2 linked regions of the Danio rerio genome follow. The protein of the gene in region 1 purifies or fractionates together with the protein of each later gene. This does not show direct contact. Links are inferred from orthologs where the notes say so. Each region holds a gene or a part of one and is shown in the gene's direction. Other genes may lie near its edges.

Evidence for each region. Proteins that work in one complex are often made in the same cells at the same time.
Region 2: the proteins of usp36 (region 1) and dgcr8 purify together in Homo sapiens (affinity purification with western blotting; 3 studies listed by BioGRID, with this or other methods). This does not show direct contact. The link is inferred for Danio rerio from reciprocal best matches to the Homo sapiens genes USP36 and DGCR8.

Annotation. Positions count from the first base shown.
Region 1 is NC_133178.1:61,789,183-61,792,708, reverse strand, and holds part of usp36 (ubiquitin carboxyl-terminal hydrolase 36), read left to right. Parts: intron 1-281; coding exon 282-467; intron 468-2,109; coding exon 2,110-2,225; intron 2,226-2,632; coding exon 2,633-2,764; intron 2,765-3,526. UniProt on the Homo sapiens protein: Deubiquitinase essential for the regulation of nucleolar structure and function. Required for cell and organism viability.
Region 2 is NC_133180.1:25,180,998-25,184,523, forward strand, and holds part of dgcr8 (microprocessor complex subunit DGCR8), read left to right. Parts: intron 1-1,175; coding exon 1,176-1,318; intron 1,319-1,433; coding exon 1,434-1,770; intron 1,771-1,992; coding exon 1,993-2,190; intron 2,191-2,274; coding exon 2,275-2,376; intron 2,377-3,015; coding exon 3,016-3,114; intron 3,115-3,219; coding exon 3,220-3,302; intron 3,303-3,387; coding exon 3,388-3,488; intron 3,489-3,526.

The DNA of each region.
Region 1 (3,526 bases):
AAAAAAAGACATGAAGAGACAAGTTGATGGCATATAAGTTTCCTGTATTGCCACAATGTTGTCTTTATTCTTTCATTAAGACAGTTACTTTTTTTATTCTGAATTAATCAGCAGCTGTGACCAAATCAGTTGAATTCAGTGAACGACTCATCCTGACACTAAGAGTAGTCAACTGTTGATGGCAAGACGTTGTTGAAATATCACCTTTGAGTAAAAAAAGCCCAAAATATTAAGGTTTCTTAAGACATCAAATGAGTCCTTTCTCTGGTTTTCTGTTTCAGCTCCAGTGATTGTTTGGGACAGTCAGGTTCAAGATGGATTCAAGAGCAGCCAGAATCATGAAGAAGCAGAGGACATGTCTGGCAAAAAGTCCTGCGCTGTTCCTGTTTGCTGGGACGGCAAGAAAAGCTGTGATGTGGTTCAGGAGCTCCTCAAGAACTCCTCTGATAAAGCCTATGGAACTGAGGGTGAGCTTTCAATCAATGTGTTTTTCATTTGTTTTTGTCCTTTTCCTGATAGTCAGGCTCGATTCTGTTGCTGTCGTTAATCTGGCACCCTGTATTTCAGAGGAGGGGCACAGTGAAAAAGTGTTTTGAATTTGAAGTGCAATACCTTATTCTACCACCGGATGTCACTCTTACATGTACTGCATTTTTAAACTACCTGTATCTGAAATGCCGCATAGATCCAGATGGTAATTATTCCACAAAACTGCCTCAGAACATTTAACCTCCTAGGGCTTAGTGGTCACGTACGTAAACAGCACATTTTAGCTCTTAAGTGGCTATTTAAAATACTTTGAATGTTTTATATTTTGTTACAGACATTCAGTGTCATCCAGCAACTGTTTTGCAGCATATGAAATGTCCCAAATACTGTTTTTAACTATCCAAAAAATAAAAAAATATATAAAATATATATATATATCCAAAATATTAAAAAAATCTCCAAAAACTCCTTTAACAGGGTTCTTACGGGTGCTGGAAATCCTGGAAAATGCTTGATTTTTAATATTGTGTTTTCAAGGTTAGAAAAGTGCTTGGATTTTGAACAAAGTGTTTGTACCTGCTTGAATTTGAAATTGCTGGGCTCGAAATTGTGACTTTTGGTTGCATATGCGCACAATTTCATCTGTGACCTCTAAATATATTTGAGAGCATATGTGCGAGTGCATAAATAGTTTTCATGCGTCTAGTTTTTATTGCAAAACGTTCACCGCATGCATGTATGTATGGAGCCAATAATATGCCAAAACAATCTGAATTTGAATTGTCAAATTATTAACACCTGTAAGCTAATAAAACTGATTATATGCTATTAAAAATTGTTTAACCGAATTTGAAACTCTTAACTTGATTATTAAACATCTGAAATTTAAGTCAAATTTTTGTAGACATATTTTCAAACTTTAGATTTTTTGGTTCTGAATTCAAAGACTGCAAATATTGGGTATGTAAAAAATACAGTTTTAAGTTGTTCAGTTGTTAAACTGTTTTGGCATTATTAGCTTCATACGTATTTAGGAGAAATTCACCCAGAATGCAACTTGAATGCATCTGAAACGCCAATTCAATATATATATATATATATATATTTAATAAATACTGTAAAAAAATAGCAATGCACTTGAAATATCATGAACAACTGGTCATGAAAGTTTGGGACTACACCCAAACAAAATCTGACTTTGGTCTCTTTCTACCTAAAGTTGATATCTCAAGAATGAGCTCAAACTTAAAAATATACTTCATCCAAAAACTAAACTTTTTTAATTTATTTTTTAATTATTTTTGGGTGAACTATCCCAATAAATCTATGCTCTAGAGTATTCAACAATTTAAGGTGAAATGTCATATTGTGTTTTTTAAAATAGCACAATGGATTCAAATGTGATTAAATGCATACAACATATATAAACATGGTTAACCGTGGTTGTTAGGTGCTGAAAAAGCATACAAATGCACCTTTAAAGTGCTTGGAAAGTGCTGGAATTTGAAGTTGGAAACGGTGTAAGAACCCTGTTTAAGATCTCCTGAAGTTCTCATCTGAATACTTGATTTGGTTCGCTGAGCTGAATTGTTGACTGTTTTGATTCATTTCATCCATCAGTTCTCAGTTGGGAAGGCGATCCGTCACTCATCAGCAGAGATGCCGTTCAGGATTCACGCTACGCTAAAAACCTGACTGTCATTGATGAGTGGGATAGTGAGTTCGACAGCGGAAAGGTGAGGATTAAAACTCTGACCTCTCATATGTTCTGTGCCTAATACTGAAGAGTCATTTAAAGCAGATCTCAGACTAATAGTCCACTGCAGACAGTTTACAGACATATTGCTAGTCATAGTTTCATTACAGAGCACATTGTCTGAAATGTTGTATTTGGATCAAAAACGCAACATCCCATTTTAGGTTCTGCAGGAAATTGACATTTGCAAACGTGAATTTATGTACATAAAAGATGACTTTACATGCAAGTAAAGTGCTTTGTTTCATACAAAGAACTTGTGCTTGTTTCAAATAACAAACTCTGCACATGACATATATGACAGTAGAGTTTATGTATATGTGTTCTATTAAGTATATACATGTGAAGTGTATAGAACAAGTTGTTTTATTTGCCTCATTCGAATAGGTGAAGAAAATTAAAAAATACAAAAAGGACAGGAGGTGGAACGGAAACGTCTTCCAGAAGATCCAGGAACATCGTAACATGTGGTCTGTGACGGGTGGCAGACGGTGCAGTCTGGGCTATCGACACTCAACGGTGCCTCACTTTATTCTCTTAATTTTCCCCCGCTTTAAACTATAAAGACATTTTTTTGGCCAGTTTACAAGACTTTTCTACTATTATTGGTTTTAAATGCATGTTGTAATTTCTAAGACTTAAGTTTGATGCTTTAGACTGTTTGAATTAATTGTATTACTTGAATATACAGTAGTCAACCTTTGAGGTTTATGAAAATGACCTAAAACTATTGAAAGATGCCCAGTCTCATCTTATTTATAAAAACATGTCTGATCCTGATTCAAATGTTTCAGTCTCCTTAAGAAAAAAAGTTTTTTTTAAAATATTTTTATTTTACTTATTTTTGTAATTGTTTTTAAATGTATTTATTTTATTTATTTTTATTCATTTATATTTATTTATATATATATATATATATATATATATATATATATATATATATATATATATATATTTTTTTTTTTTTAATTTATTTATGAATTGTTTTTTATTACTATTATTATTTGTTTATTTTCATATATTTGTATTTATATATTTTTTATTTATATGTATTAGTTTATTTTTATTTATTTATATTTATTAACATTTTTGTTTTAGTATTTTTTTATTCATTTTTTATATTTATTTTTATTTGTTTATTTATATTATTATTATTCATTATGTATAAATTTGTTTTTGTTTTTCACTTATATTATTATAATATTTGTTTTTTATGTGTTTGTTTTATTTGTACATATTTATTTATTTGTATTTACATTTTTTCTTATTTGTTTTTTGTTT
Region 2 (3,526 bases), on another chromosome or scaffold:
AGTTATTCCAGTTGTTTTTTTTTTTGTTTTTTTTTGGTATTTATCTTCAGGAAATCACTGAAGGCATATATTATTTTATCATAACGATCTAAAGTGACAATAAGATCGTAACTTTACTGTGCATTTATACAGTGGCCATATTCATCTATGTAAACACACCAAAACAACATTACCAATATAGCAGAAACTGTAAAAAGCTCAGTTTCAGCCACTAGACTTTTCTGACGGTATTAGAGTGTCAGAATGTTGTGGGACTGCTATTACAGATTATAGATCGTAAAATTTAGCTTTTTATTTATTTTTTTTATTTTTTTTATGAAAAAACTTTTTCATTTTCATGTTTCAGGGAAAACAGTTATGTATATATATATATTAAAACATGTGCTTATTGTAAAAATTTGTAATAATGACAAAAATACCATTTTGTGGATCTCCTTATTTTCGGGTTTAGCAATACTGCTGTTGTGGCTGGTGTATTCTGGGAAATTTTCTTAGCCCTTGGTTTCGTGTGTGGTCCTGAAAAATCTTTTTTCGAAGGGCTATTCACCCCTTCCCTTTAGACCACAGGTGTCAAACTCAGTTCCAAAAGGGCCGCAGCTCTGCACAGTTTAGTTCCAACCCTAATTAAACACACCTGATCAAACTAATTGAGTCCTACAGGCTTGTTTGAAACCTACAGGTAAGTGTGTTGGAGCAGGGTTGGAACTAAACTGTGCAGGGCTTCGGCCCTCCAGGAATTGAGTTTGAGACTCCTCTACGCCTTGACATGAACGTGCAAAATGAGGGGTAGGGGTGAGGGGAAGGGCTAAGGGGTAGAATTGGGATTGGGCCATAGTCTGAAGCAATGGCAAATATTGAAAATATATATATTTTATAATAATACAGTTTTTACGATAACCTTTTTTTTTGGCCGATTTAATACATGCATGCAGAATAAAATCAGCAATTTCTGAAAAACAATCTTTTAAAGCAGGTGGATGTCTTGAGTCAGACTCGAGAGGAGTATTTTTTTATTTGGTAGAAAATGCATTTTTAGAATTTTTATTTTTTATATCTACAACTTTTATTGCTTTTAGTTTGACAATAGCACAAAAACCGAAACCCTAAATTGGATTCTTGCTGGCTATACTTTTAGTAATTGTTAAATATAATTATTTTTTTATTTGATTTTTAAGGTCGTGGTCGACCGCCAACTGAGCCATTACCTGATGGGTGGATCATGACATTCCATAACTCCGGCATTCCAGTCTACCTCCACCGGGAAACCAGAGTTGTAACCTGGTCTAGACCTTACTTCCTTGGAACAGGAAGCATTAGGGTAAACATTTTGACTTGCCTAAGATATGACACTTACTGTAAATTGCAATTAAACAATTACAATGTTCAATTTATTTTTTCACGCTCCTCATCTCTATTCTCTTATTTTCCCCTAGAAACATGACCCACCAACCAGTAGCATTCCCTGCCTGCACTACAAGAAAATGAAGGAACAAGAAGAAAGGGAACAGAATGGAGAGGTGACTCCGACAGCGGAGATTTCTCCAGTCAAATCTGGGGAGGAGGGTATCTCACTGGAGCGAGCCGATGAGCCTGACTCCACTGCCACTGAAGAGCCCACCGGCAGACCAACATCAGAAGATCCGGATCTTGACCTCATGGAGCCAGGAGGGTCTTCTATAGAGGGGAAGGATGGCCAAACCGGGGATACTGCACAGGGAGCATTGGGCCAGGTCAAAGCCAAGGTGGAGGTCTGCAAAGATGAGTCTATTGGTAAGTGGACTTTATACTTATAATTTTTTTATATATACAATAATCAAAATTTGCAGAGGATTAAAGCCTTTTAAAGTTTTCATAAAATTATTTAACAGCCATTTTTGGTCTTGGGACAATTTTGAAAAGCTATTTTCCCCCCACTTCAGATGTTGATTACTGTATACATCACTGTGAAAATGTGCCTGGCATGTAAACCTCCTCTTGTGTTTTGTATCCCAGAAATTGAGGATTTTAGAAGCTACCTAGAGAAGTGCTTTGATTTTGAGCAAGTGACAGTGAAGAAGTTCCGCACATGGGCTGAGCGCAGACAGTTCAACAGGGACATGAAGAGGAAACAGGCTGAGTCTGAGAGGCCCATCCTACCAGCCAATCAGAAGCTCATCACGCTGTCTGTTCAAGATGCCCCCACAAAGAAAGGTGCCTATGAAATTAATACATTTATGAATCTTAAAACCAATAAAACATGCTGTTTTAACAACAATAACAATGTTTATATTACAGAGTTTGTCATCAACCCAAATGGGAAGTCAGAAGTGTGCATTTTACATGAGTATATGCAAAGAGTACTCAAAGTGCGACCAGTTTACAACTTTTTTGAATGTGGTAAGTAGCATAATGCTGAAGGATATTTGGATTTGAAAGAGAAGATTCTGATATTGACATTTTGGAAGGGATTAAAAAAAAAACTTTGGATTTAGTTTTTTCATGGATAAAATGACACTAGAACATCAATTAATCCCTGTCTAAATGAGTGATTCACTGAATTTTCTTTATTTTTCATTCTAAATGGTCTATCTATGAATTATTAAATTGGCTGAAATTATTGGATCAGAGACAGATTTATTCAGAAGTGTAATTGCAATGTTACTCTGCAATGCGCTAATATTTAGCCCCAGGCTTTTAAACTATTTTTGTTGGGGGAAAATACAATATTGTGTCTGTAGCTTGCCCTATAAAAAGTAAAGTGTAAAGTCCTGATTTTCTGGAAAACCACTACTCTGTGCCATTACATATGTTTTTTTTTATTAATTAATTTTTTTTTAAAGTGAGCAACAAACCCATAAATAATGCATATGCCATCCCTAGAGTTAATCTTTTAAGAAACCAAATTACTTGTGGGCCATGTCTGTATAAAATGTCTCTTAAATCTACTGTAATGCATGTGTTTTTTGTTTTATATATACAATGTTTTTGTATATACTGTACTTAAATGTAAAGTCTCCATATTTTTTTTTCCCTCAGAAAACCCAAGTGAACCCTTCGGAGCCTCAGTGATTATAGACGGTGTTACATACGGCACTGGAACAGCTAGTAGTAAAAAACTTGCCAAGAATAAAGCTGGTATCTTTTCCCCGTTTCTGTTTGAGTCCTGTAATCTCAGCAAGAAATCATTTTGCTTCAACATAACTGCAAGCAAATAATTTACTTTATTCTCTTTTGTTTAAGCTCGAGCAACACTGGAAATCCTCATTCCTGACTTTGTGAAGCAGACGTCTGAGGAGAAGCCCGTAGAGGGAGATGAACTGGAGGTGCTGCTCTTCTTTATATTTTATCTTTGAGTAGATTAATTTATTTCATGGTACTTATGGTGTGTGTTGTTTTCCATTTCCACAGTATTTTAATCATATCAGTATTGAAGATTCAAGGGTGTATGAGCTGACCAACAAAGCAGGTTTACTCTCACCATATCAGATCCTTCATGAGTGCCTTAAGAGGTGCGTTATCATTATGCATAATCAGTCATTTGATCACA